Struthio camelus: one gene and its partners. The protein of the gene in region 2 interacts with the protein of the main gene of each other region in a biochemical or structural test. Links are inferred from orthologs where the notes say so. Each region holds a gene or a part of one and is shown on either strand. Other genes may lie near its edges.

Evidence for each region.
Region 1: of the proteins of CHUK (region 2) and NFKB1, one has a biochemical effect on the other in vitro, tested with the Homo sapiens proteins (3 studies listed by BioGRID and IntAct). The link is inferred for Struthio camelus from reciprocal best matches to the Homo sapiens genes CHUK and NFKB1.
Region 3: of the proteins of CHUK (region 2) and COPS5, one has a biochemical effect on the other in vitro, tested with the Homo sapiens proteins (2 studies listed by BioGRID). The link is inferred for Struthio camelus from reciprocal best matches to the Homo sapiens genes CHUK and COPS5.
Region 4: of the proteins of CHUK (region 2) and MAP3K14, one has a biochemical effect on the other in vitro, tested with the Homo sapiens proteins (5 studies listed by BioGRID and IntAct, with this or other methods). The link is inferred for Struthio camelus from reciprocal best matches to the Homo sapiens genes CHUK and MAP3K14.

The regions. Positions count from the first base shown.
Region 1 is NC_090945.1:27,039,499-27,047,049, forward strand, and holds the start of NFKB1 (nuclear factor NF-kappa-B p105 subunit), read right to left. Parts: upstream 3,006-7,551; 5' UTR 2,930-3,005; coding exon 2,809-2,929; intron 1-2,808.
Region 2 is NC_090948.1:43,888,106-43,895,881, forward strand, and holds the start of CHUK (inhibitor of nuclear factor kappa-B kinase subunit alpha), read right to left. Parts: upstream 3,002-7,776; 5' UTR 2,968-3,001; coding exon 2,845-2,967; intron 2,774-2,844; coding exon 2,679-2,773; intron 491-2,678; coding exon 376-490; intron 1-375. Other genes in the region: CWF19L1 (CWF19-like protein 1), read right to left, coding at 3,113-3,257, 3,683-3,780, 5,540-5,659, 6,440-6,649.
Region 3 is NC_090943.1:132,232,890-132,240,720, reverse strand, and holds the start of COPS5 (COP9 signalosome complex subunit 5), read right to left. Parts: upstream 3,009-7,831; 5' UTR 2,936-3,008; coding exon 2,757-2,935; intron 2,626-2,756; coding exon 2,391-2,625; intron 469-2,390; coding exon 340-468; intron 1-339. UniProt on the Homo sapiens protein: Probable protease subunit of the COP9 signalosome complex (CSN), a complex involved in various cellular and developmental processes.
Region 4 is NC_090966.1:522,457-530,001, reverse strand, and holds the start of MAP3K14 (mitogen-activated protein kinase kinase kinase 14), read right to left. Parts: upstream 3,019-7,545; 5' UTR 2,910-3,018; exon of another isoform or gene 2,906-2,909; intron 2,681-2,905; exon of another isoform or gene 2,545-2,680; intron 1-2,544.

The DNA of each region.
Region 1 (7,551 bases), on a different chromosome or scaffold from region 2:
TGACCTAAGGGCACAATTAATGACAACTGTAATTACGATGTTATCAATGTAGAACTTTTAAAAAGGCTACACAGCTAATTTAATGGACATAAAATTACAACTTCCATTTCTAAGATACCTGGGTCAGAGCTGACAGTGACCAAGATCAGAATTCCTCCTATCCATTACCTAACCCCAAACATTTTCTCCTCTTGTTTCATACCTATGTTATTTTGTCACTGAGGACCAAAGAAAAACTACCAATATGTAGAAAAAAAAGTTTCAAAGAAGCTAAATTTAGACTTTACTTTAGTTGCTTAAGGAAATAAATATGTTTTTCTCTCTTAAGACAAACACTTCTGAATCTAGAGCTGGCAAACATTTTCAGCACCGAAAGGTGGGAACATTTCAGCGGGTAAATTTTGAAGTGATCTATGAAAACATAGAACAACGAAACAGTATCTCTAAAGACTGCAGAATTTTCTGATCAATAGCTACAACAGCCTACCCTAAGTTAGTAAAAAATACATTGTTTTTCACTGTATCTTTGCAACTTCTATACAACATTTAGTATGGGTGTGTGTAACTACAGAGGCAGTCTGCACCACCGAATCTTAAACACCCCCGGCAGTACGGAGCATCCTTCATAGCGAAGACTCAAGCGTCTTCACACTGGGTTCCTCTGCTTCCAGGGTCACCAGTGCTGATGGGCAGGGTAACACAAATTTCCTAACTGCACTTATTTCTGGACCTTGCATGTCTCCATGTGACAGTTGCTTGGGGAGGTGTTGGGAAAAGGCAGTGCTGGAAAGCAGGAACTTTGCTTCTCATGAAAATTCAGAAATTTATTAATTACCAAATTCAAGTCAATAGCTGGTTGTAGGTATCCGTTACTGAATGTTATGAAATCACATAACAACATCTCACTGAAAAAAGCAAATTACATTATTTTTAAAAGATTAAGTACATAATAACATTGAAAACTAATTAAAATAATTGTTAACTTTCAATAAACAAAGCAAGAAATTTTTATACCTTACATATGAACGAAATATTGCTGTCTGTTTTCTACCCTCTCACCCCCTACCAAGGTGAGAACAAGGTATTGCTCTCTCCTAGCACACTTTTTTTTCCAGGAAACTTTTCTGATTTCAAATGTATACCAAAAAAACTCCATCTAGATGCTAATTTAACTACGCATCTCTATCAAGTATGAAGTTTATCTGCTACAGTATTATTTTTTAAAACACACAACTTGACACAAAATGAAACAAAGCCATTCTCAGTTTCATAATCTTAACTCTATCCAAAACGTACTCATTACTCACAAGAGAAACCAGTTTGATTTGTGATAACTACTGTTAAATGGACACTTCTTTCTTGAAAAAGGGGACAAAGGGTGGAAAGGAAAAGGCTTTCTTTTTCCATCGACTGGTTAATACTTCAGTTTAAGTTGTTATTTAACAAGTCTTGCGCATATCTCAGCACTGAGTTTCCTTGAAATTTCCAGGTATACCCTCTGGGGCAGATCCTGACAATAAAAATTCAGCATAAATGTCACTTAAATTACTGAGCCAGGAAAGCTTAGAGAAGCTGAGAATCTACAGGCTCATTTTTCCTCTTTCATTTTCTCAAATGTAGTCCTAACTGTACTGCTCAACTAAACTGTAGTACAAAACACTGCAGATAACTAAGACGTCATTCTAATTCTTTCATAGAATGGGCAGCTGCATTCTCTCTTGAAAATATAAAAATCTGTCTTTAAACCAGAAATATATTCTGACTAGCATATTATTCCAATAGTTCTAGAATATCAACAAAACCCAGACCTACATTTTCAACCGAGTTGTGCGAGCTTGACAGTGGCAGTTTAAGGCTGCCTAAGGTGGTGTAGCACCTGACTCTAGTGAAGTATAAGGTGATGTAGGGTATAAGGCGATTCAGCAGAGAATACATTCACTTAATATTGACTTAATGTTATTGTTAAAAAGAATAAATGAAAGGAGGACTTTGAAGCATAGAATTAAACATGCCTAACACATTATGCGCTTTAAAAATATGTGTTACTTTTCAAATGTAAAGATTAGAGCAAAGATTAGAGTATTTTTAACATAGAGTATTAGAGTATTAGAGTTTTTTATTAGATTAGAGTATTTTTAACCCTTAGCAAAGATTAGAGTATTTTTAACAGGAAGCTGAAATGCAGCACTGAAGTTGTGATGACCTCTAGCCTTAATCCTGCAAATGCTTACAGGCACTTATATTTTCACTCCTTTGAATGGAAGTACATACCAGTATACCGTATTAAAACGGCAGCCAAATAACACATAGCTCATCTATACTGAAGTTCAGAAATAACACTCTATTTTGTGTTCACATGGAAGAAGTCAATAGAGCTTCTTAATTGAAGAAATCAAAGCAGAAAGCGCCAACAAGTAAAAATAATGGTGAGGATGAACGGTTGAATCTCCTCGTTTTTAAGGCCACATGTAACAAAAACAACCATTCAGATCATACTTTTATATCATTGGGAGAACATTTCAGTTTCATTACTTACTAGTGCAATTTTAAAAAAATCCACCAGTACACCACATCCGAAAGCAGCTTTTTTTTTTTTTTTAAATATTCTTTGCGACATTCACTTGAAAGACCTTCTGCAATCCCCACCCAGGATCAGGACACCAAGGTGCCACCGGCAAAACCGTCTGCATGCTAACTTTTCCCCCCTTAAGGCCAGACAATGACCGTACAACCACAGATGCTCCAAACTGTTTCTCAGGTCAAGCCCGAACGCCACCTCTGAAACCAAACGCGCAACAACCAGCATACCCTTTGACAGCAAGCACCCCGCTCCCCCGTCAGCAGAAACGCCTCTCCAACTTTTTGCGTTTATTTGACAGCAGTTCACAGACATCTCTTCCAGGTTAGGACGTCCCCTTACAACAAACATCAGCAGAAAAGCCCACTGTAGCTGCGCTTTAAGAGTTATTAAACAGAAGAGTCCCGACGCGGTCCGTACGCGAACACGGAAGGCGTTGTTTAAATCCACAGCAAAAGAGAAAGCACAGTGGCAAGCAATCGCCCTGCCCAGAAGCTCCGCACCGGGAAGCGGAGGCCGCTCGTGTCGCCGTGCCCCGGACGGCGCCCGCGGGCAGGAGCCGCCTGCGCTTCCCTCTGCCGTGCTCCACGTCAGGCGGCAGCCGCGCCCGGCGGCACGGACGAGCCGCGGCGCCCGTCGCAGGTCCCCGAGCCCGCCAGGCTCTGCCCTGCGGCGCCCCCCGCCCGGCCCGGCGTCACCTCGCCACCGACTCCGCGCAGGAACGAGGAAGCGCCGGCAAAAAGGCGAACGGGCGCCAAGGAAGGGCAGGAAAGAGAGAGAGAGCAGCAAGCGACGGGCCAGGGGCTGCTGAGGGCTCACCCGGGGCAGGGCTGGAGCCGTCTCGTCGCGGTCGTCGTCGCCGTCGCCGCCGTCGTCGTCGTCTCCCGCTGGCGGGGCCCGGCCGCGCGTCCCTCAGCGCCGCGCCATGTAACCGGCGTGACGCCGTCGGCGCCGCCCGCGCCCTGGCTCCGCACGGACTTCCCCCTCCGCCGGCCCGCTGGCGAGGGCAGCTGAGCGGCACCGGCCTGCGGGGCCGCCGCCGCCTGCGCAGCCGCCGCCGCCGCCTCCACCTCCGCGGCCACCCGCCTGCCCCTGCCCCCCGGCCCGCCGCACTTCCTGACTGGAAATTCCCGCTGACGCTCCGAGAGCGCAACGGCCGCGCGGGCGGGGCGGGGCGGCAGGCAGGCAGGCAGGCAGGGAAGGGAGGGAGGGAGGCAGGGAGGGAGCGGGCAGCCGTTGGGGGCGCAGCCGTTGGGGGGGGGCAGGGAGGGAGCGGGCAGCCGTTAGGGGGCGCAGCCGTTAGGGGGCGCAGCCGTTAGGGGGGGGCAGGGAGGGAGCGGGCAGCCGTTAGGGGGCGCAGCCGTTGGGGGGGCAGGGAGGGAGCGGGCAGCCGTTAGGGGGCGCAGCCGTTGGGGGGGGCAGGGAGGGAGCGGGCAGCCGTTAGGGGGTGCAGCCGTTGAGGGGGGCAGGGAGGGAGCGGGCAGCCGTTAGGGGGCGCAGCCGTTGGGGGGGCAGGGAGGGAGCGGGCAGCCGTTAGGGGGTGCAGCCGTTGAGGGGGGCAGGGAGGGAGCGGGCAGCCGTTACGGGGAGCTGCTGTTGGAGAGGGGACAGGTAGAGAGGGCAGCTGTTGGGAGGGACTGGGAGAGAGCAGGGAGCCATTGAGGGGCAACTGTTGGGGGGGGCAGGGAGGGAGTGAGGGGGGGCACTGTCAAGGGGGAGCTGTTGGGGTGCAAGGAGAGAGCAGGCAACTGTTGAGGGGGAGCACTTGGAGGGATGAAGGAGCACCTGTACAGCACTGAACACTGCCAGCCTTCTTTGGAGGGGCTCTGTCTGTGGCTTCTCCCACCTCACTATGCTGGAAAAGCGCAGGAGGAAAAGCCTACCCTGGGCAAGGGAGGAGACAGCACGGAAGCAGGCAGGGCAGCGCAGAGCTGAGGAAGCGTCTGCCACCCACCCCTAGCTGGCAAAATCCCTCTCCCAGCTCCCAGGGCTCTCAGAACTGCTCTTGATCGGACAGGCCCTCAGCCTGAAGGAAGTTGTGTGACTACATGAGCCTTTTTGGCCTGGAGGAATTACCGCCACCACAAGAATAACCCTGTCCATGTTGAGTGACCCACGGGGATGCTGTCAAGACTTCTGTGGAGTCAGGCCTAACCAGGTGGCTGTAAATGTTTTTTTGTTTGTTGACCCCCAAAAAGTTTCTAAGGGAAGAGGGAATACACGTAGAGTGAATTTAAACCTACTAACATAATGCCTTTCTGTTACTTTCCTTTCATGGATCCTTTGTAAATGGAGGTTTATTCACTGCCCACCACCAAACATCTGAAAACAGTGCTGAGCAGGGGGTGCAGGCTACATGCCACCGTTGTTTGGTTTTTTTTTTTTTTTTTAGCTCCTGGCAGAGCAGACTTCCAGGTTAGTGGAACTTCTGTTAAATAGCACCAACCATCAATCATATACTGATTTTTTTAGTATCAAAATCTAGTGCCTTAGTACTGTAAGCAAATCTGTCAGGTAGATCTAAGGCTGAAGGGTGTACTGTCATTCAGCTGAGCGATCCTAACTGACCAGTACCATGTTTGGCCAGTCACAAATGTCGGATGAAATATTTGAATTTATTGAATTTCTTCTGAGGCTTAAACCTCCAGTTTGCTAAGAGTGAGGAGCATCTCAGCTTAGCAGCCAGTATAGCTCACCTGATGTGTGTTAGGCCAGGAATTCAACCATGCAACAGGGGAGTGCTGGTGGATGACTTTTGTTGTGCTAAGACTCTGCAAGGTAGCATATCTTCACCAAAGGATTATTCCTCTGAGAGATGAATGAGACTAGCAAAAATCGTAACTGAAAAGAAGGATAAAACAAATAACTTAATTAAATGGTGAGACTCATTTCTCTTATATTGAAGCAACAAACTCACATCCAAGGCAAAACTGAGGCCAAAATAAACAAGGTCAAATGATAAACAATCTGGGATAAAATCTGGTATATACAATAATATAATTATTAATAATTAATATTATTAATAATAATTAATTAATAATATAACCTGGGATAAACAATCACTGGGACAAAGAGACAGGGTTATTTTTTTTTACCAGACATGTCATAAAAGAAGACTATGCTGCTGAACACATCTAATCTATCAACATGGTAGCTGATTTCATCCCTGGAGAGGGAATAGATTCAGATGTTATACTTTGTGCCAAGATCTGAGTTGGAATAGAGATGTTATTTAAGATTAGTGCTGAGACTGTGAAAGGCAGCTTGGAAACACAAAGGATTTTCTCCATCTCTTAATAAGAGAACTGAAATCTCATACAGGGGATATATTCATATGTATGGTGAGAGTCATTTCCTTTATTTGGATTGTCACATCACTCTGTGATGCAGTTCTAGAAATGGATTCCCCCATTCTCTCCCCAACCCATTTTTTCATGACTCAGCATTTCTGAGTAAAATATGTTTTTCCTTATTAAAAAAAGCTACTTCTTGCACTCTCAGGACCCAATGTTCAGCTCTTCTGTGGAAGCAAGTACACTGAAGTGAGAGTGAAGAGAGAACTGGGTCCCAAAGCCCTGTGAGAAGGAAATTTAAATAGACTTTAAATATGTAAAGTGTTTCAAAATGAGATTCATTTGAAAGAAAAGGTGCCATGTCACAGCTAGTCACAGGTATGCTCACAGGCAAGACCTGTATGAACAAGTACCGGAAAATCAAACAAGGTGGAAAAGTTCCAAAACTGAAGGAGACTTAACTGGTGGATTTATTTTAAAAGGACACATTGTTGACTACTTCAGGGCTCAGCTTTCCTAGTAAAAGCCTAAGCAGCTTCCACAATGATCTAGCTTTTTTTTTTTTTTCTTCTCTCCTTTTGGTTCCCTTCTCAGGTAAATTCAAAACATAACTTTGTCTTTCTTATAACTCACCACTGTAACAGAAGCGTTACTTCCACTGAAACCCACAACAGCATCAAGCTGTAAGTCCATAATGGTAGAATTACCTTCTCAGAACACCCTGGATACATGAATTGCTTTAAAGCATGGAAACACTCACCTGAAAAGTCAAAAGATATTCTCCCCCCCCCCAGACCTGTTTACAGCCAGTAGGTAAACTAGGCAGACTATATGGACTCAGGTGCCAGCAGTTTGCTGTGATTCCTGCAGAACACAGGGCTGCGCTATTACCATCAAGATACTTTAATACCTGAACAAGATCAGCTCACAGATGAAGTGCATGTGCTTAAAGCTCCACCTGAGCAAGTAAACACTTATGTTGCTGAGCTGAGGGAGACATTGTGAAATTTTTCTAGCTGTGTCCCAGTCTCTCTTACTGGGAAGCTGTATCAGAGGTAAGGCTTCCTAGTTGCATACTTAGCTAAGCTGTTATATCTGAGTCTCACCATAGTGAAGTTATGTATGTTTAAGCTTTTTGAAATGTCATAGAGGTTAGGAGCTGCCTCTGGTTTTGCATTCACTAGGTTTCCTCTGGTAGTATAGATCCCTTCCTAAGGTGAGAAATGATAGGCACCAAAACTTTTTTTAGCCTTATAATTAATATTGCTTCTCCTCAGCAACAAAGTTTTGTTTCTGAGAATTAAACTATTCCTCCAACAATATGTGAAAACAGACAGACATGCAAGATTTGCAGAGATTTCTAAAATAATTGCTCTTCACTTTAAGTGGTTTGCACAAATGTAGAAAATAATACTGAAATATTTGTCAAAGCTTCCTGCTTTATTTTCTGTCAGTTTCTGAGATAAGTACTGGAAATGGGTCAGGATCTTTTCATTCTCTTTGGCATCATACATTTGGTACTGAAACAGAAAGAAAGGAGGAAAAATTCAAAATAGCAGGTGAGAGGCACTTCCTTTGAAATCTTTCCGCTCCTGTCAGATGAATTCTTTATTGGCCTATTAAGCCATGCTATCCAAACCCCTTCCTGGTTAACCCATTATTTCTTTATAACTCAAAAGG
Region 2 (7,776 bases):
TCCTTCCTTGTAGCTGAAAACAACACAACACTGGACACCCGTGAATTAAAAACAGATCAGACTTCAAACAGATACAGGCACGCAGCAGCAAATTCAGTCATGGTGGGTGCTAACATCGAGGCTACAGGAAACGGCATTAATGCTGATGCGGTCCTATGAAAGGAGACACTACTTCAGGATAAAGTAATATCTGCCCTTGGATTATCCCCTCTATCACCTGGTCTCATAGCACAAGCCTCACTTCACACTTACGTTTTTTACTACACGTCTACCTCCCTCCACCTGCAATATACGTGGTTTCACAGACAATCAGTTAGGAAAAGAGCATTAACTCCACTCGTTTTCCTACGTGTGTCAAAGCAAAGCAGAACTTACCTTCCGGAGGTCACCTCCTGAACAATATTCCATTGCCAGAAGAGGAACGTCATTAACAAGAAAGTTCATCTCCTCGGGAACTTCACAGGCTCTTACTACATTGGGATGGTTCAACCTAGGCACACGGAGAGCCTGATGAAAAGTTTGACCCCTCTTTTGGGAGAGCAAGACTGCCAACCAACCGTGCTTTATGTTTCAGGTAAGATCTCCCCAAACTTACTGCTGCCCAGTACCGAAATGCATCAGATCCATACCTTGTGAATACACAAACCAGTGATGAGCAGAACATGGTCTCCAAGTCAAGATACAGGACTTGGATGATGGAGATCCAAGCTCAAGTTCTGGATTTCTGCACATTCTTGGCACAGTCATTTCATATGTGTTTCTATTTCTGCATGTAGAAGCAGTTTCCCTTTAGTCCAGAAGTTTTACAGGAATATGTTAACACTTGTGTAATTGTTCTATAGAAGTAGAACCACGCACGTAAAATAAATGTACGCTGGGAAGAAATCATTTGGGTAACTACATTCAAACAGCTTTTCCTCACTGTCTCAAAATATGCTATTCTCAGGAATAAAACACACATCTAGAAAGAAGATAAATTACTCCAACATACAAAGTCCAAAGTCTCTGGGAGTTACCACAAAAGACGCTGTAGAGGTACAATTCAGTGCCTATATTCAGACTATGAATATAGTTTTGCAGTGAAAACGTTGATAGAAACAGTGATCACCCAATACTGAATTGCAAACTCAGCTCTAACACGATACCTGCAAGTGGTTTCCTCCACTATTGATAACATAATGTGAAAGCAGCATGTATGTAAGCAGATCAGCGTGACAAGGGACAGTATGACCTCAGTAAAGCTCCATGCAGCATGGGTACAGCAAAGGGTTTTGAGTTGTTGGAGAACTACTCAAAATAAAACTCTGGAAGGGTGTCCTTGCTCCTGCCAGCAGGACTGTACATGTCATGCTACAGGATCTCCCTCGAGAGGAAGCAGTTCCCATGATGAGGAAACAGCTCCACGAGATCCCTGACACCCAGAGAAATAATTGAGCAACTCTGTCCATGAGGATGAATTTCACCTGCTCTGTTTCACAGGTATCTCAGAGTGACATGCTGGAGAGGGACTGCGGGTTGCCCAGGGTGAGTAACCTCTTCTTAAAAAGAGCTGGGAGACGTTACTCAGTAAGAATGAGAACGTCACAGAAAACGGTTATTCCCAGATCCCTAATTGCCAGATCACAGCCCGATGCACGGGCCAGTATAGAAGCACACAGGTGTCTGGACGTCACTATGTCCTGAGCAAACAGATGGACCAACACATAAGTGCAGGGGGGATGGTTATCACTAGGTCCCAATCCAACACGCTAGATGGTACATGAGAGCAGAAGGGCTCAGAACATCGGCAGATCACAGCCTGACACACCAGCTGGTACACCAGTGCAGAGGGGTTTGAATGTCACTAGATCCCAGCCCTAAACGCTGGTCACATAGGAGCCCAGGGGACCTGGCTGTCACTAGACTCCAGCTCCACACATCGGCTGTGCATGAACCCAGTGGGTCCGGCTGTCACTAGACCCCCACCCCACACACTGGCCACACGTGTGCAAGCGCTCTGACTCTCACTTAAACCCCTATTCCACATACTGGCCGTATACAAGCCCAGGGTGGGAAGGCTGGCTATCTCTAGAACCCTTGTCCCACACACCAGCCACATGCGAGCCCGGAGGGGCTGCCTGTCACTGCAGACCCCCATATCACACACAGGCCATACGTGACCACAGGGGGCTGGCTGTTACTAGATCCCCCTCCCACATACTGGCTGAATGTGACCACAATGGTCTGGCTGTCACTAGACCCCCCCATGCGAAACACTAGCCCCATGTCAGCCCAGGAGTCTGGCTGTCACCAGACCCCCATCACACATACCAGAGAAACGCGGGCGCTGGGGTCCGGCTTTCGCTAGACTCCCATGACACGTACCAACGGTAAGGGAGGCCAGGGGGCTGGCTGTCACTAGACCCCCCACTCCACTCAACAGGGTCTGGCTGTCACTAGACCCCAACCCATGCACTGGTCAAATGCAAGTACAGGGGGGTCCAGCTGTCACTAGACCCCCACCCCACACAGCAGCTGAATCAGACCCAGGGGGTCTGGCTGGTCCCCGCATGCCGGGCTGCGCGTTAGGGGCAGAAGGGGCGGCGGGAGCGAGCGCGCTGGCAGCCCCCGGGGCAGAGGCAGCCGAGGCTTGGGCGGCGCCCCGCTCCAGCGGCGGGGCCGGGCCCGGCCGCACTCACTTCTTCATGATGTCGATCTCGTGGCACCAGCGGTCCTTGTTCTTGACGCTGAGCTCCAGTCGGCACGACTTGATCGCCACCTTGGCGCCCGAGTCCTGCGGGACACAGCGCCGTCAGAGGGCCCGGCGCAGCGCGCACCGCCCCGCTCCCCCGGCCCGGCGCCCACCTGGTGCTGGTAGAGGCAGACGTTGCCGAAGCCGCCGGTGCCCAGGCGGTCCCGCATCTCCCAGGGGCCGCAGCCGCCCGCCGGCTGCCCCCGCAGCGCCGCGCCGCCGGGCGCCCGCTCCATGCCGCCTCCGCCGCCCCCCGGACCGCGCCGCAGCCACTCAGCGCCCCGCGCCACACCGCCTTTATTGCCGCGTCACAGAAGAGCGCGCGCGCGCGCGCGCGTGCGTCACGCCGCGCCGCCCATCGCCGCACGTCCGCCGCCGCCGTCAGTGCTGCAGGCCGAAGTCGAAGGGCTGGAAGTCGCGGCGGAAGGCCTGGGCGGCGGCCGCCTCCTCGGGTCGCGCCGCCGTGCACTGCCGCCAGTCGGCGCGGTGGGGCAACCCCAGCAGGGCCGCGCTCGCCAGCACCTCCCTGCAAGCACAGCCGCGTCAGCCGCCCGGCGTGACGTCACGGCGCCCCCCACACCCTCCCCCGGCCTGGCGTGAGGCCACGGCGGCCCCACACCCCTCCCCTGCCCGGTGTGACGTCACAGCACCCCTCCCAGGCCCCCCTCTGCCCGGCCCAACATCACAGTGCCCCCACAGGCCCCCCTCCGCCCAGCGTGATGTCACAGCACCCCCTCCACACTCCTCCCCCACCCAGCGTGACGTCACAGCACCCCCACACCCCTCCCCTGCCCGGTGTGACATCACAGCACCCCCCCGGCGTGACATCACAGCACCCCCACCCACCCAACAGGCCCTGTGGCATGAGAGCTGCCGCACCCCATGCGCCACTCTGCTTCACCACAGCATGAGGGAGGAGAGAAAAGGGCAAAAAACACCAAACCCCCAAACCTGCCAAACTGCAGCGGAAAGCTTTTCCGGATGCGGTGGAAAAGCTTCTCGCCCGTGTCCAGCTCCACGTAGAAATAGGGTGTCCCCGGCTGGGCTACCTAGGTGGGGGAAGAAAGAAAGGGGGGAAAAAAAAAAAAAAAGAAGATGAAACCTTGCTGAAAGATGGAGCCCAGAAAAAGGGTCCCTGCTGACCTCCAAGCAGCAGGGAACTGCCAGCTGTCAGGCCCCTTATTGCCTCAGGGGAGCAAGGGCAGCTTTTAACAGTGGCAGGGCAACACTGACTATTTTCACGCCAGTCTTCCAAGTAATGTTAAATTCATCTTGGTATTTCAAATGGGTTCTAACCCAACAGCGGAGCAGAATAACTACCCTAGTTCTGTTATTTAAAAATGACAGGGTTTCATAAGAGACTGGCTTTGAACTACAGCAAGAAAAGTGCATTTTTTGGACACTGTAACAGATGTCGATGACTACACTTGGATGATTATACTTGAACCGTGATTCAACTGAATATTAGAGTTAGGGAAACCCAAGCTTCCTGTGGATTCTTCTGCCAAGACTGACCCGAGACCATGCAGATCCTGAAGTTTAAATGTGCCTATGCACCAAAAAACCCCCCAGGGCTTTACCCTGTGGGTTGTCCAGTCCTGGCTGAGTTCACTCCAAAGCCTTTTCATCAATGAAACACCAAAAAAGGCCCTCTCCTAAGTATTTCTTGTGAGTAGCCATGTCCTAGAAGTCGGCCCCACTCTGTCAAAGAGCTGATGCTTCCTAACAAGGAGGACCCTAGCTGTGTTTTAGTTTCCTTTGCAAAGCAAATTGAAAGTCAGATTAGAACACACAAACAGGAACAAACTGGGTCAATGGTAGATCTCAAAACATAGCTCATGACAGATGTGAAGCGATGGATTGCTTTCAGCCGGGATCAGTTTGTACACTTGCATATGGAGCACCATGAGCACAATGCTACATTTTTGTGGACTAATTCTGCAGAATGACACCTCTAGTAAGAGTGATCATAATTGCCTAGCTAAGTCATCCCAAGCTAATACAGCATATTGTAGATAAAAAAAATCACATGAGAGTAAATTTACACTTCTCAGCTAAAAAAAAAAACCCTAAGTTTTCTGACACAGATATAAATACTTGTAATAGCTTAGAAAGTAACTAGCATAAATATGTGCTGTTTCTGGGTCCTGCTGCAGATATGGTCTCCCTGTGATTATTGGTTACAGAGAAGCCTATATCACTAGACTAATTTCTCTGGTACAACAGGAATATTTCTTCCAAATCCTGATCCAAGGGAATTTAAAGCTACCTGCTTTGCACTGACACAGAAAGGGCTGCTTTGGTATCACTAGCAGTGAGTGCAGCAACCTGTGCACAGAGCTGGGGTAGCAGGGCAAGGGTTATCTTTTACATTCCTGTCCTCAAAGTCAGATTTCTGCCTTACCTTTCTGCCTAACCTATATTTGGAGTTTCTCCTCGAGTAAACACTCAGCTGCTCCGAGAAAACTAAAGGACATCTTCGTAAATCGCACCAGGATAGCAGTGCTATCTAGTGCACCTAGCAGCATAGGCTTCATTCATATGAAAAGCAAGTATTGATCATCTTGGAGAGCCTAAGGTGTATAACTGCTGTAGGCAGATAAAGGCCTTAATTTGCAAAGAAGCAAATCATCTGTCATTCACTGTGACTTCATCCAGAAGTGAAAACCTCGGGCATATCTGCAACTCAAGTCTATGGCAGTCTACCTCCAACAGCTTAGTCTTACCATGCAAAGCGACCCCAGAGTGAAATACCAGCTTAGAAAGGATTGAGGTGAGGTAAACGACAGGTGAAATCTTGTCTCATACTTGCTTGATATCTGAGTGCTCTGGGATCTCTAACAATTCAATCTGTTGTTCCTGTGCCTGTACAATAAAGGACTCTTTAATGTCTTCAGAAGTACAGAGGTCCAACGGGACAGGAATCACCTGGAGAGCATGGACAACATTTTCATAACGAGAAAAGACAAACCATTTACTCTCAGAAAGCAATAAATCCATCACTGGAGCTGGTATGCTCCTCAGTACTGCTCGTCATCATCATATAAGACAGGTGAGCACCTATCTATACAGGCTTAAACTTATGAGAGATTTTTCTGTAGGAGTTGAACAGAAAACTGAAAACTAATAGCCTGAAAGAGTTCTCAGAACGGTCACCCTCCTTTCTGATCTTTGTGGTAGTTTAAGGCCGCTCTGATACAGTTACAGATCTGCCAGATACAGAAACCACCACAATAAACCACCAAGTGATTAACATACAGGAAACAATCAAATCAAAAGGTTATTCATTGTCTACCAATACCAGAGCTCTGCAGGTGTATTTCTAGATTTTCAGCCTACTTCAGTTACAGCATGAGTACCACAGTTCATGTGCCAGTATGAGCGGATAAGAGTACGAGCAAAGTCTTCCAACTCATCTGTACACATTGTGAGCTTTTTAATCAGGGTCATGAGGGGAAAAACAGTTGTATCTCACTCACTCTACACAAATCAACCCTGTGCCTGCTGTAACAGGAAAAACAAGGACTGCGGCAGAATAAGCACCCAGGCTTTGTTTTTGTTCTGCCTCTATCCTTGGGTAAGATGATTTCTATCCATACTCTGTGAAGGCACAGAGGAAAGAGGGAAGTTTGAGAGTGAGCCGTCTCTTTCAACATACTGGCATGTAAGCTCAGGTTGCGCTCTTCTGCTATTGTACTCAAATCATACCTGTAACTGCAGATGCTGACTCCTATAGTTTCTTTCAAATAAGACATATCTCTTTCCCTTGCTTCTGAAAAATTCCTTTAAGACAGATTTGTACTTGGTCACTTCTTCCACCACCTCTGAAGACAGGTCAACTACGGACTGATAGTGCCCAATAGGCAAAATCAGGACGTGATCAGGTAGTAAGCCACCCTTGGCCAGGGCAAGATAGCACTGGAATGAAACAATATATATCAGTTACTCACTCACTGCAAACACTTACCATGCTGTGAAGCTTACCTGTGCTCTCTGACAACATTCTGAGAGCATCCCACAGCCTAGCTATCCCGCATCAGTAAAGCCTCCTTTTCCATGACACTTACTAGAGATTACGTTTATTAGAAATTAATTACTAGATGAACAAGAAAAAGGCAGGGACTACTAAAGAAAAAAAAAGTGCCAGAACATGAGGAAATAAGTTATCTGAAAGAAGGCAAGTGAATGAACCACTGTATCAAGAAATTCTATTAAAACAACAAAAAGAGACAAACAAGAAAACCACTTGAAAACGTACACCTGCATTTAAACTGAACATGTGGACAAATCTGTCCCTATAGCAGTTAGCAGTGTATTACACTAGATAGGAGTAGTAATTTAGGGAAGGTAAAGAGATCAATGATTAATTCAACATCCTCAAGTACATACTGGAGACTAATAACTAAAAACTACGAATCTTCTGTTTAATTTGTATATGACAGAACTGGAACAAATCACCCCAGCGACAGTTGGCATAACTCCAGTCAGTGCATCCTGCTGCCAAGCTGTTGCCAGCTCACACTGAGTTCGCACTGGAAGAGTTTTGTCAGGTGGTAAGATGAAAACCTTTAAGGCTGGCATAGCCAAAAAAGTATTTTGTCAGCATAGTTCAGCTCCGTTGCCTGAGCAAAATAGGGCCATGTTTCATTTTTACAAGTCTGTCTATATACCTGTGTCTTTTAGGGGGAAAATGAAAGAAATTGAAAAGAAAACCATGGGTCCAAGTTATGGAAGGGCATGGAGAAGAGGACGAGGATAGTCTCACTACACAGTTCTGCTGCTAAAGCTCCATTCACTCCAGGGAATATTTTGCTGTTACACAAGAATTGGTAAAGTGTATACGGGGGGATGCTTGCGCATATGTGTGGGCGGTGTGAGCATGGTACTATACTTCTGAGCGTAGTTGTCTCAGCAAGATCTGTAGTACATTCCTTGCTTATTGATCTCAGTCTAAAACAGAAAAAATACAGGCAAAAAGCAGAGTGAATTTCCCTGCTGGACTGGTTTGTTTATTTAGAGGTGGATTTTGTTGTTGTTTAACATAA
Region 3 (7,831 bases), on a different chromosome or scaffold from region 2:
ATCTCGATTGTTCAGTAAATTTTTTTGAAAAATTATCAAGCAGAACTTAAAGAGCAGCATATAAATTTCAGCAGAACTACAACATCTTGACTGATGCAGCAAAGCTGGCCTCAGTGAACAAATGCTACTGTTCTGACCAGCGTATGGCCAGAAAAGCAAAACGGGTGATACCAGTTTAAGATTGGGATCTTTTCTGCATCATTCTTCCATCATGCAGAATACACGCTCTGAAAACATTAACCACCAGAAATCTGAAAATAATTCCCTCGTCAACATAATTTGCTACCCAGTTTTACCGTGCTTATTGAATGGTTAAATTAACTATCAGCCAGTACTTACAACGACTGCTACAAAGGGTTCTTGAAACTGCTGATTAAGCATCTGAGTACTGACATCGATCCCAGAGAGCCAGCAGCCATAGCCAGGGTGACTGTGATACCAGCCAATGGCATTTTCTAGACGGCCAACCTAACAGGAGTGAAGGAAAAGAAATCCATAGTGTGAAATGCTTCCATCCTGTAAGTAACAGCTGCCCTCTATTGGGCCTCCCAGCAAAATACAACATGGCAAGAGGATAAAAAAGAATACATAAATAGCCTAAGTATTAAATGCACAACTTAGGCTGCAAAATTATTTTCTACAAACCATGTAATCTGTATTAGCATTCTGTGTTATAGCTACTACCACAAAACAAAGAAAACCAACTCCAAGGAGCCAGTAACTCTTTTTCTAATGATAACTGAAGTACAGAACAGATCCCTCATGGTGAGATGAGAGGCAAGCTGAGACTCTTCATCATGGAAAAAAAATTTCATTGGGAGGACGTGACACAAGTATAAAAATCTCATATCTCATAGCGTATGTCAGTAGAGAATGAAAGTTTATTATTTACCACAGTAACACACCTCAGAGGCATACTGCGAGCTCATTCGTAGTTTTAAAAATAATAAATTGAAAAATACATACTTCCAAACACCAATACGACAGCATTCATTGCAAAACAATGGTATGAAGGCCAAACGTTAGATTTGATAGATTTGGGGGGACTGGAAAAATTATCAGCATAAGTTTCCAAATAATGCCGTGGCTACATCTACAAATTCTAGAAGCAAAAAACCAAACCAAAACCAAAACCAAAAAAACCCCCACAGAATGAAATCCTGCTGCACCTTTTTATTCTGTTCCTCGTTCAAAAATCTCTTACTGACTGCTGAATACTGGGTCAAATGAACTTTTGACATGACCTCATGTATCTATTTTAAAAAAAAATCTTTAAACATATCAACCTCTGAAATACGTTTACTCTTTGCTTACATTACGATCCAATCTAACTCACACTTATTTTAAAATCTTTAATTGTATATAAAGTACGAACAGAAGTACAACACTCTAAAATAACCCAAATACTATCCTCTTGTCTTCAGAGAACAGGGAAGACACCTCTAATTTTTACAGAGTTAGAATACTTTGGAATTAAAGAAAAACCAAATGGTGAACCGGGTCTACAACTATTTGGACAGTTAGAATAATTTATGGGATTCACAGTTAGCTTATTCATAGGACAGGAATGCCTAGCACTATCAGGAGGAAATCCCATGTGCCATGCTGGTTTCTAGACCAGCCACAGAGCAGATTCCCATTTCTGTTACTCTTCTGCATGTGAGAATTTTACTGCATGCTCAGGCTTAACATGACTTCAGTCTTTGAGAACACGGTGAGAAAGAGCAGACAGGCACTTCGCAGTAATTAATCTTATCAGAGTCAGTCTATTCAACATTTCTTAATTATAAACCTGGATAATTAATTGCCACTGACACTTTATTTATTCATTGGTATTTTTCTTCATAGACCCGTTCTCTTTTTTATTATGGAAGACAGCAGAGTGACTGTGTAGGAAGACTTTAGAAAGCAAGCAAGTATGAAAAAATATCATTCCCCTGTTCTACAAGTAATAAGTAGCTGTGATACGTAAACAATTTATATTTAATTTTGTATACTGCTTTTAGAAATCACTATTATATCAGTTATTTTAGAAGCATGCTCCCTCCTTATTCCATTCGCAAGCCACCAGCTGCAAGCTGCAGCCATACAAACACTTCCTGAGTGATGAAAATCAAGATGAAGGAAAACATACTCAAGTACCCGACAGCCTATTCTAAGATGGGAAAATAAACGTGAAAATGAAAAAGCTATATCAGAAAGTTTGCATCGGATAGTTTTCTGATCCCTGTTTTGAGCAGAAACACTGTAACTGGGCAGCCACTTTATCACATGAGGCAGCAGAAGGGCCTCCAAAACTCAGATGCGCAGAATACATTACCCGAATAGCTTACGACAGGATCTGTGACGACCTCACAGGGGACACAATACCCCGCACCACTTCTTTTTACCTGCTTTGCGTTCTCGATGTAGGCAGCCATGTACTCGTAGGCAGCCGCCTGGGCATTGACGCGGGTCTCCGTGCCCTCCACGGGCAGGGCGAAGCTGTCCATGATGATCATGGTTTCCCCGTCCACCTTGCCCAGCATGAGCCCCATCACCTCCAGGTTGCCGCCCGACCTGGCGTGCATCACCATCTTGAGCAGTGCCAGTGCCGAGATCTTGCAGTACTTGAAGTAATGGTGGCTGCAAGAGAGAGGCCGCAGAGGCGCTCAGGGCCGTACTGGGGCCGGGACCGACCCCCGCCTCGCCCCGGGCCCCGGGCCCTCGCCGCCCGCCCCACGGCCCAGCCCGGCCCGGCCCGGCCCCGCTCTCACTCTTTGGTCCAGGGCTTGGCCGCCAGGATCTCCTGCTGCTGCTTGCGGTCGTATTTGTAGATCTCGTCGATGCTCTGCGCCTCCTGCATGTTGTTGGCCAGCTCCCACGTCTTCTGCGCCATCCCGCTGCCGGAACCGCCGCCGCCGCCACCTCCGCTGCCCCCCGCCGCCGCCGCCATGGCCCCGCGCCGACCCGGCCCCCGCCGCGACCAACCGACGCGGGGGGAGGCGGCCGAGGCAGGTGGTACGGTCCGCGCAGGCCCGGCCCGGCCCGGCCCGGCGCCCCTCGGCAGCGACCGCCCTCCGGAGCGACAGGGGGCGCTGCAGGGCGCCGCCCGCCCGTTTCCGGGGAGGCGGTAACGCGCGCGGGACGCGCAGGCAGCTGCAGCCGTCGGAGCCGGTGAGCGGGGTGGCGGCGGGGACAGCGCCCAGTCTGCGGGCTCGGCGGCGGGGCGGGGGCGCACCCGCCCGCGCCTCGCACCCCGCGGCGGCCGGCCCCACTCCGCTCCTCCCCCCCTCCGCCCCCGCGGACGGGGCAGCTCGCTGGGGAGTGGGGCCGGCCCGCGGGGCGCCGAGCGGGGGGGGGCGCGAGAGGCGGCGGCGGTGGGGCCGGGTGTGCCGGTGAGGGCAGGTTGGGGGGGGGCGGCGGGGTCGTGGGCCCCGCGCGCGCGCGGCAGCAGCAGCAGCCGTTTGTTGTGCGGCCGTTGCCTGACAACGGCGCCCGCTGCTTAAAGGGGCCGAGCTCGCCCGCCGCCCCGCCCTACCCCGCCTCGCGCGGCAGCGGCCCCGGCGTGGGCCGCGGCGTGGGCCCCGGGGCGGCCGCCGCGGCGAGGCCGGCTGGGGGGAGGTGGGCCGGCGTTTCCCCTGGCTGCCGAGGTTGAAGTGATACGTCCGGCTTCCTGGCCCTGAAGGTTTTCTGCGGTTAATTTCTTCCCGGACCAGCGTACGGGTTCGAGGAAGGACGGCTAAACCTGTGGAGGGAGGGGGACAACCCTCCGTGTTCCTTTCGGTACTGAATTGCTTTCGCTGTTCCTGACAAGCCGCGTTGGTTTTAGTCCGAATTTATTAATTGCAAGCGACCAGGCGCTGGCTGGATTTTTTAAATATTTTTGTCAGATAAGAATTGAAAAGAAATGGAGGGAGAAGGTGCAGGCAGCGTGTTTCTGATGGCAGGAGGTTCTTCTGAGTGTCAGTCAAGGGGCTAGAGAAGCAGCCAGTACTGACGGTCCTGAAAATTTAGCAAGTACGGCTGAAACTTTGAAAAATAGTTCTTAATGAAACAATTGTGTGGCCATATAATCTCTAAGTACAATAACTAAGCATGGCGTAAAATTGCTTTTTAAAGCATCTCCCTGCCCCACGACCCTTGCTGCAGTGCTATGGACTTGGTGGGAATTGTCATCTTGCCAATTTTCCTGAGAACTGTTTTAGTATTAGCAGTAGAATAGAACAGGCAAAATGTGCCCGCTTACATGTGCTGAATTTAAATTTTGTGCCTCCCCCCCTTTTTTGATAAATAAGGGGAGAAGGGAGGGAGTAGAAAGCAGTACAGTAGACATATCTTTACGTGATAAAGTAGATAATGCAAGACACAAGAAGATACAATACATACAATACAATGGATGGACAAATAGATATTTTGAATATCTTGGGTACGGAGACATCCATTATTAACAACTGTGCTTAGGCACAGATCCTATAAAAAAAAAAAATCTCATGTTCAAACTTGACTTTGTAAGTGTCTGTATGTTTTCTGTTCGGTGGTGTATTTGACTAAAGTGAAGTTTACCTACCTGACTTTTGCTTTTATGAACGTTTCCTGTTTCAAAACAAAAAAAGCTTATGGAAAAAATGATAAAAAGTTAATCTGTTTAAAAGTAAAAATGTTATAAAATATTCTTTTTATGGGGCATATTTGGACAGTAATTGAAAAACTAGCAGAATTCTGTTTAATGTAATTTCCCTTTGTATAATACAGTGTTTTTGGAATGTTATGCAAATACATACAAGATTTAAAGATTTAAAAGTTTATTAATATATGCTATCAAAAATAAGGTTTTTAATCACATTTAGAAAATATTCTATGAGTTGGAAGGAAGAACAGTGCGCAATGTGCATTCAGACACATTGCTAGTCTGCTAAGCTAAACGGACTATTTTGAATTAAAGTAGTTTTTCAATGGCAAACTTTACTTTGGTAAGTTTGCATAGTGTTAGGAAGCTAGTTTTAAATTAATGGTTCACTGCGAATTCAGTGCTGTAAGCTCCAACTTAGCAACTGGGAACTGTGGTAGCTCCTTTTTTGGATAGAAATGTATTGTTTATGTATATATGTTGTGGTTAGTCATGGTCTCTTCACTTGCTATGGTAGATCACAAAATTGATTTATTAATATTCAGTGAGATATTTGCTTATATGCTGAAATTTTTTTGAAATGCCTCACCTTCAAGTGGTCAGTGCTTTGCTTATAGTACATAAGAAAAATGTTTGTCCCCCCCCCCCTTGCCTTTCAGTATAACATACTATTTTCAGTTATCTCATAAAGTTTGCACTTATGCATATTCTAAGAAGATCTCTCTGAGGGAAAGGACATAAGACATAACATGTATAGCTGTTTCCTCAAAGGCATTTGGCCACATTTCCTTGCCGTTTGGCTGTATTAAAAGTATGCTGAATCAACAGTGCTGCAGTGTTGGTCAGCTGAGTTTATGCTCCCAGGCCTGGAGTTGTGAATTTTCTTGGTAATCAGTTGAATGTCTGTAGTTTGGCTGTAACTTAATCAGTGGTTTGTCTTTGTTTTTAAATTTATTACGTTGCTCTTTTGAGCAGTATAGTAAAAATGAAGAATAATAGAATGCTCACTTTGTTCCTCATTCTAGGTAGAAAATGCACTACGAATGTCTGTTCCTTTCCTTACACAGCCTTTCAAAATACCATTCCGATACACTCAATTGAAAATAGTTCTAGTGTTCATAAATATTAGCTTAAGTGAAGATCAGAACTTTGGATGTTTCAGTCAAACTTTTGGGGAGGCTTCTCACAGTGCTTCCCTGTATTAATTTTCCTCGTGGTGGGTATGCTGCAGTAGATAGTTGATGAGTACAACTTGTTGTTTAGTATAACAAGTTGTTATATCCATTCATTATCCTTATATAACTTAGTAGCCTAAACAGAATTTATCAGTGCCTAGAAACTTATGCTCTTTTAGATTTCATTTATCCTTTAACTTTATCACTGTGCAAAACTAATGAGATTAAAGATTTAGGACAAATCAGATGGGGGAATTTATTTTTGGAATTGATTGTCCTGTATTACCACTAGGACTTGTAAAGGAGTTGTCCTAGTTCTACCTCCTTTGTAGGAATATTAATGTTATTCTTTGATTAGTAATATAAAATTATGAAGTTTAATACATCAAACAAAATTTAAAGTACATGTATTCCTTAAGTTCAAGTCTTTGCTGTCACATGACGTTGCATGTTGACTTCGTTTATCTGTTGCAGTACTGACGTTTTATCTCATCGTTATATCTCTTCATCTGCCTTTTCCTAGTAAGTATTTAGTTCATTCTCTCTGGACATGTTATGTCATGTTTTTGCTGTTTAGTATCTTATTCTGCTGTATGTTTGTTTGTTTGTATTGTGTCCCCTGTGAGGTCGTCACAGATCCTGTCGTAAGCTATTCGGGTAATGTATTCTGCGCATCTGAGTTTTGGAGGCCCTTCTGCTGCCTCATGTGTGTGTTTGTTCTTAATTCTTTGGTCCTTTTTCTGAAAGTGTCAAATATGCTGTCATCGCTGGCTTGCTCTTTACTTTGTACAACCGATAGGCTTTGGAAAGATACTGAATTGGTATTGCTTAAGACCTGTATAAGCAATCCTGTTGCTTAAATTGTGTGGTTAGTAGTAGAGGGATTTGAAGGTTGTAATTTTCTTCTCAGTTTCATGCTTCCTGTTAAGTGTGAACTATAACATATGGACTTCTTATCTGTAGGCTTAGTTTTGCAAAACTCTGGTGGAATCGGTGAAGAAGCTGAGGCAAGGAGGAGATTAGGAGTAGGCTTGTATGTAGTCAATTTTTTTTTCTTTTTTTTCCATACTTTACTTCTTCAGTATGCAGTTGTGCAATATTTTTAGTTTTGATGAGATTATCTTACCAAAGAATGTTCTGAAGTCTAAATGTTTGGCCAGGCTTCTGTATGGTTCCATTATTATGAATTAGATTCACTTTAACTTTTGTTATGAGGTTATCTAGAAACAGCAGTGTACAGTAAATTGGACAAATGATGCTAAAAAAAGTTTCTGCTCTGAAGAACTTTCAGTTAAATAGGCAAGATATACAACTAATGGAAAAGGGATTTGATCAACGGTTCCTGTAGTATGTTTTATTACAGATAAATGGCTCGGCTGATTATAAGCCAGTGCTGCCTAATGTCCACAAAGTTATGATTCTTGGAGAATTATAGCTGTTCTTATTGCCTCTGCAAATTTACTGGTAGAAAAGGTAACGACATGCTTTTGGCTCCAACTCTGGAAAACACGATGCATGTGTGTTACGATTTTCTTTTTTAAATAGGCTTGATCATTTTAAAGATTTCTTGTAATAGAAAATATAACTACCTAAATGGCTGTTTGATTGGGTCCTTACTTCAGAGTACATGTTTATTTTGCAGTTTTGTTGCCTAATCATTACTTTATTGTTGCTATTTATCTTTTCTGTTGTTTATCTTTGATTTTATAATTCACTAGCAATAGGCTTTTGTTAATATGTAGTGAAGGGCAGTTGGTAGACTTCCAAAGCATTATTAAGTTTTTAAGAAAACTTTTAGCTAAGTTAGAAGAAAGATTAGAGAAATATCAGGATTTACCGTAAGGAGTTTCTGATTTTCCTCTCAGGAGAAACTTCAGGTACTGTCCTCAGGGCATGTATTTCTTGAGGTGGGCTTTCCTGTAACCCAGCAAGGATCATTTTTGAGGGAGATGTGTGAGCATGACTTGACTACTGTCTTAAGCAACTGTAATTGAGCTTAAAGTTTCTGCTGCTGTGACGTAGATGCAATGTTTTCTCTTTTCTGTAA
Region 4 (7,545 bases), on a different chromosome or scaffold from region 2:
TCCTCTTGGTTTAACAGTGTTATCTATGTGTCTCTACGAGGGGCACCTATACAGTTTTGTCTGGTTCCTCTAGGTCTCTCGTGTACTGTCAAATACTGTCACATAAAGGTTTACCTGAAGATGATCAGTTGCTTCTACCTAAACCACCCCAGAACTCTGGGATCAGTCTGAAGGATTTCACTATCAGTATTATGTTCATGAGTAAGCTTTGTTATAAACGATAATAAATATGTAAATATATTCTTTAAAGTGGTTTGACAGGAAATATTTCAAAACCCAGTTTCAGCCATTTATGTTGCATACTATAAACATCAGGATAATAAGCTTCAACTATCTTTTTAGTTGCCAGACATTAATATATTGCAGTAGTTTGATTACAAACTCCGTAGGAAAGTATTTGATTGAGTTTAATCAATAGTAGAATTTTCAAAAGTGTCTAAACACATCTATCTTAATTTCCTCAAGATTAACTTGGGTACAACTCACCCCTTAACAACTCTTTTCATGTTGTTGAATGAGGATATGAATAACACCATTTACCCAAAGTTTATAAACATCACTGCATCCCAATTCATTCAAACCAGTTAATTTTTCCAAACTGCTCTGCGAACAAGTATTACAGAAAGTATTAGTATGAACAAACTTAAGTCTGACAAAGTTTTGTTTTCAAATCTGACTTAGCTGTTTACATATAAGCTTTCAGAACACAGCTTAAAAACATCCTGATTTTTAAGACCCATTTGTGGAGTGAAGCTATTTCCTCAATTAGAGCAAGATGGTATATAAGCACTTAAATGGACAACTTCTGACATTAACCACAAACATGCATTAAAATTAATTCTGCCCAGGTAAACAGGACCAAGCTTTCACCAGTTATTACTGAACATTGCTGTGTGGCTTGAGATTTTCAACTCACATTTACAAAAAAGCCATGTAAGGCTACAAGAAAGCAGTGATGTTGAAACGCTAGGCAAAAAGGGAATTTCTGTTACTTTTAGTATGAATAGGAGCTTTTCTACATAAGCTTAATTCATCCTCTATCTTGTGAGCTCAATTATTACAATTTTATACTAGAAACGTGAAGAAAACTGACAAGTTTCTTTGTCCATTCTGAGCAATACTCCATGAGAGAAACTCCCATTTTAATTGCAGCATCTAAGACCCGTCTTTTAGACGAGCTGCGTTCTGTATTTTTCAGGGCCTAGCAAGTTAATGCTACTAAAATGTGGTTAGCAAAGCTCAATTTCCTATAGATTTAAGTCTCCCATGCCTAGGCCTCTTACCCCTCCTTTTGGTCCCCCAGTGCATCCTCTTGATCTCTCTTCCACAGCATCTCCAGACCCTTCCCTAATCCAGGTCTCTTCCACTCAGAGCCAGCTGCTCTTCTTGGAAGTTGGAAAATTTTCTGTTGTCCAGACCTTTCTCCTTTTGTCTCCGCCAGCAAATCTGACTGACATTTGCCAATGAGCTCAAAAGTTGCAGGAGAAAGGCTAAAGAGACAACAGTCACGTTTGCCTCCTCTCCTTCAGAGCAATAATTAGTGACCATATCACTCTTACAAAAGCTCTGCTCTAACTTCTCATATTTAACACTGCTACTCTTTATCCCAATTCTTCTTTCAAAGCTCGTTAACGCCAGTGATGTTGGATCAGGTCCCACAAACCCTTTTTTATTTTTGTTTGTTACATGCTCACTTGTTATAGTCCTTCTTCACAGCATACTATTCAAAGACTCAGTCTCTCATAACAGTTAAAATTTAATAGTTAATAGCAAATGACTCATTCCAATGGAATCTAGTGGCTGTGCCAATAATAGATTTTAACTTAGTTAAAACGCAATAAAGCACCCCCGACAGACACATATTTGAAAGCCTGATTCAATTACTCTCATCACTATTGTTATAGCTAAGAAGGTGCGACTTATTACTCATAAAAGAGTTCAGAAAGACAGTTTAAAAAGAAGTTTAAAAGTTGTTTATGGATGCTAGTTTCAGATTGCCGCTTCTTACATGTGCAAAGCCCTGAACACATGTTTCTAATGTAACTGATTAAGTAGACAGGAAGCATTTGAGATCAACCACAGCAGTGACTTATTAATCAGCAGAGAAGTATTTTAACCTTTTGCCAGAAAAAAAAGTTGTGTCAAAGAGAAGTCCTATGGCTAGATATGAGAGGTGAGTAAACAGACAGTTTAACTGAACTTCAGATCTTATTCAGTTGTATATTTTGATTAACTGATCTCAAGCCTGCCTCACCCTCCCCTCTCCATGGTCAGGAATAGCTTGGTAAAACTGCACCTAGCAACATCCAATCAAAACAGCAAAGGTGGCAACTTAATTTCTTATCTAGTCGAGCGCTCCAAGACAGACACAGCAGGCAGGAAATCAGTTAACTCCAGAGCCAAAAAGGAAAGTTTGCTTTCGAGCAGAAAAATAACATCGCAGCTCAGAAAAAGAAGAGAAAGCAAGCGAGCGGCCCGGTGTTCTCTGGAGACGCCAGCAGCGCAGGCGGAGAAGAAAGCAGCCGCTCAGCGAATCCAAGCTACCTTGGGGTGGGGCAGCCAGGAATTTCGGGGACGGCTCCGCAGGGCTCCGGCGGCCTCAACGGCCGCTCCAGGAAGCGGGCGCCGCCCGGCCCGGCCGCCGCTCGCCGCCTCCGGGCTGCCCGGCGCGGCGCGGCTCGGCCCCGCCCGCGGCTCCTCGCGCACCAGGAACGGCCACAGACGGGCGCCCGCGGGCCTCAGGAGCGGCGCGCCGCGGCGAGGCCGCCGCCTGACAGCCGGGCTCGCCGGTGAACGGCCCGAGCACCGCCCCGGCCCCGGCCCCGCCGCCGCCCGGCGGAGGCGCGGCGCGGCGCGGCGCGGCTCCCCTCCCCCCGAGGCGGGCGGGCCCGGCGCGCAGCCGCACCTACCGCTCCGGTGCGCGCGGGAGGCTCGGCGCGGCGCGGCGCGGCGCGGCGCTGCCACTCAGGCTCCCTCAGCGGCGCCCCGCACACTGACAGGCGCTGGCCGCCGGCGGCCCCGCCCCCAGCGCCGCTCAGCCAATAGGCGCCGCTCGGACCGCGTGGCCTCGCCCCGCCGCCCGCGCGCCGCGCCACGCCGCGCCCCGCCGCCCGCGCGCGTCCAACCGGCGCCGGCCGCCGCCGGGTGCCGCCCCGCCCCAGTGGGGCAGGGGGCTGGCGGCGAGCGGCCGGGGGCGGCTCCAGTTTCCCAGAAGTGGGCAGGGCTTCCTGCAAAGTGCTCCCCGCCCCGTCGCTTCCTCGGGGTGCAGTGCCGTGCCGTCGCGGCGCCTGCGGAAGGTGCCCAGTGCGCAGGCGCGGGCCGGGGGCCGGGGGTGGGGGGAGAGCGGGGGGAGTGCGCACGCGCCGAGTGACCGTTAAACGGCGGCGGCCGCGCGCCCCTCCCCGGTCCTGGGTCTTCTCAGGTAGCGCGAGCCCTGGCGGCCTCCCTGTTCCGCCGCGGGCCCGGCTCCGTGCTGCTGGGGGCGGCGGCTGGCTCGCTGGGGGAGCGCTTTCTCCTCGTGGTTGTGCCTCCCGTTAACTGCTCGGTTTCCCGCCCGGGGCCGCTCTGCCCGCCCACGCCGAGCCGGGCAGCGCCCTGGCCGCCTCCCGAGCGCCTCGCCTCTGCTCGCCGCTCCCCGCCGCCTCGGGAGAGGGGGTTGCAAACCACCCAAAACGGCGCGGGGTGGCGGTGCTCCATCCAGGCCCCTGGGTTTGTAGTGTGGCTGGTGCCATGCTTGTCCGCAGCAGCTTCTCCGTTGTTGCCACATCTGAGTAAGGATGCTGGCATAAAACTGAAGGGCTGTAACTTTTTTTTTCCCCTCAAAAACTTAGAGGAATTTGTCTATACAGGTATTAGAGAAAAGTATAACTTTGGGAAAATCAGAGTTGCTATGGTAGCAGGGAGTCAATAAGCTGAGTTTTTTGAGGTTTAGTAGATTTAAACTGTCCAGTTACTTGTGGCTTAAGAAACTGTGACCTTCTCAACACTTACTTATATGTAACCTATTAACTTTTCTTCATTCTCTATGCCGAGACTTTATGGGATGTCTTTTTTTTTTTTTTTTTCCTCTCCTTATAGTTAAACACCCAAGAGAAAGGAAGAAGGGATATGACAGCTGTGTCAAGGCCATGGAAGAGAAGAGGATGGTTAGCCTTCATCCTCAGTCACAATGGAGGTGATTGGAGGAATTGTAGTGCTGTTGTGGAGATTTTTTTTTGAATAGTGTGAGTTAGTGATAACCTTGAGAGTTTTTCCTGAGTCAGTCTCTGTTTCTTCCTATTAAGTGAAAGTTTACTTTCCAGACTCCTATTTTAGCATTATTCTTTGTTGTGACATAAGAGTTAAGAGTCTTTTGGGGTAATTTCCATTCCTTGCATCAGGGAATGAGGCGAATGGAAAATAAGATAATTTCAGAGCTCTCAAGAAAGGAGGAAATTGGACTTTGGTATGCTTGTTTAGTGCCCCTAGGTTTGGGCTCTTTTTGTGACATTTAATATGCTGTGCACATTGCAGAAAGATGACTCACAGTTGTGGCAGACAGGCTTTGTATGATAACCACGGTGATGATGCTCTGAGTGATTTTGAAACTTGCAGTAGCAGGATTCCAATTCCCTCACCTTAAGTATATGCTGGCTTAATACAGATACTTCTTTTGCTCAGACTCTATTTCTACATAGTTTGGGAAGACCCTTTCAATATTTAGGGTTCTCTAGAAAGATATTAGAACTATGCAGTGTTGAAAATAATTCAATGTCACCCACTTACAGTGCAAAGCCAGAAGTATAATGAGTCTGTTGCAGTAGGTCAGCATCACACATGTTATGTTATAGTCAAGATGTTATTTCATAGATTACTCAAATTATTTGTTATTTCCATTTTAATCATTTTCAAAAGTATTGATCAGGTGGATTTTCTCAAGGAGGTAGCCAATAGTTGCAGATGTTTTTTGGTCCGTCATCCTGGAGGAACTGAACTGTGGTCTGCTCTCAGTGGAAAGTAGGAGGAGATTGAGCTAAGGTATGGGGTAGTGTTTTTATGTGTTCGTACGCTTAGGCAACGCATGCTACGGTCACAAGAATTTGAGCTGCACAATCTCTAAGGTTCCCTGAGTGTGTATTTAAAAAAAAAAAAAAAAACAAACCAAAACAAAATCTTTGTTCTCACTACGGAAGCAGTAGGAAAACCTCAGGTGAGGGAAGAGTAGGACTAATAACCAGTCACATCTTTTTCCAACTTTTCTTGATATCTCTTAAAGCATGTGGGATGTCTACTAGTCTAGATAAAAGAACATTTGAAAACCGTCGCCTTGTTTAAAAAAAAAAAGTTTTAAAGTTGAAATATTTTTGAGAGAAGTTTTGTTTTTAAACTTCTGAGGCTCCTTGGTCAGATTGTTTTTTGCCAGAGTTGCATATAGAGGTACTTATGACCCTAGCTAATACATTTGACACTTCTAGTGCCACTTCTAGTGGAAAGAACATCAAACAGGGCTTTTGACAAAACATAATGGATCTTAATACTCATTTTGAGATTTCTGAACAAGCCACGCTTTCCATGCAAGTTATATTCTATAATTCTTATCTGAAGGCAGAAAGGAAGCACACAGGATTGAGGAGTTTGAGAAACACATGTGGAACTTGTTACAAGCCCAACTTCAATACTGAAATCCGGAATATTCTGTTTTGCTTTTGTGGTTAAGTTATGTGAAATGAATCAATGGTCTCAATCAACTTACTGGTAGAGAAGTTTGTCACTCTTGGCGCTGTAAAAACTCTTGAAAGCACAAACAAAGTGTAAATAATGTAATAATGTCTGCTCCACTAAGCAAGTGGCATTTATTACATATGGTAACAGCTCAAAGATGTAAAGAGTCCTGTTAGTCTAATTGGAAATAACACCTACATGTACTGATCTGCCAGAGCACTTCTGACACCTCTCCAGCAGGAAAGTGTATTTGGAGTAGGATGAAAATGCAACATATCCACCCCACTGAGGCAGAAACAACCGAGCTGGTGAAGGCAAGTCTGGGAGACAGGTGCTGGCTGTGACCTCTGCTCTGTCCTTACTTTGTAATTAGATGGACAAGTACAACCAAGCTCAGGTTTCTGTTGTAGCTATAAAACCCGCCAGAAGTTATCAGGGTGAGTACAAATGGAGCGAATGCAAACACATCTGTGTTCCTATTTGTGTAAACATCACAGGGTGTATCGGTAACTAGATTTAGAGGGTTAATACTAATAGCTGTGTTAATAATTGGTACAAAATAGGCATAGCCCGCCCTTTGGACGACCCATTAATGTCAAGAACTTACTTCTCAGAACATGTGCAGTGATTATAGTTAAAGCTCCAAGAGCATAGTTTCACAAAAGGCCTTTTTGTTTCTTCCTGGCCTGGTTATGGTGATCTACTGAGACCACTGATCAAAAAAGCTTTTATTTTAGAATTTTTGATCTTGCATTCCAAGTTTTGGGCTTATTACATATTATGAGTCAGGAGCAACATGTTCCAAATAGTGAGTTGTATAAGGATTTGAACCAGGGCAAGCCTTTGACAATGTAAAGTTCAGTCAAGATCTAGAGATGGGACTTAGACAGCTCATACAATCTTGTCTCCTTTCTCTAATGTTATTCCTCCAGCCCAGCTTCTGCCTCTGTGGCAGATGACCACCCCCTTTAAAAAATATATATGTATATGAGAGAGAGAGAGATAGGGGAGTAAAGTGGTCAGAATTCCATCAGCTGTTCACACCACTACCCCCAGCTTTATGCTGCTATAGTCTATGCTCTCCCATCCTAATCCCTTCTCTAGAAGTTTAGGTCTAGCCCTTGCTTTGGGCACTGCTGAGTTCACAGCGCAGGAGGTACGAGAGTCACTGCCTTGCATGTCAGGTTACAGTTAGCTTTCCCAGGGTAGCTGTTCTTAGTTCAGGGTTCTTTGTTGAAAGAAGGGTTACCTACTTTGATCTGTGTTGAATTTGAGTGCTTGGACATGGGTAGTTACATGGGACCAGCTGTGCAGAGTAACCTGGGGGGCTGGGGGGTGTGTGATGAGCCAGATTGCCAGAAGAATGGTGTCCCCCAGGAGTTGAATGTTTATGCCTAAGCCTGCCCTTTTTGGAACTGTGGTGTACCTATAATGCATGGGAAGGGCTCCTTCACCAGGTAGTGTGGGTTAGATATGACAAAGCCATACTGTGTTCTGTGCTCCTGTGGGTCACAAGATTGATAGGTCAGCTGCAGGATTCAAGTGAACAGCCTTTTGATATGGGTGGAAGAAACTCAAGCTTTTAAACACGGGGTACGTGGATTCAGACCCTGCCAGTTTTGTTTGTATCATTCAGAGCCAACTGAAGAGTCAGAATCTCTAAAATAGGGTTCTCAGCTGTTTCATTCTTCAGAACTCAAACCTGAAGCAACTGGCTGTGAAAACTTCACCATTGAAAAGTTTCACTTCCCAGATAGTGCTGTGCTATAAATATCCTGTGCAGTGGGATATGACATTTACTCCCACACATGAGACAGAGCATGCTTTGTGACTTGCATACTTTGC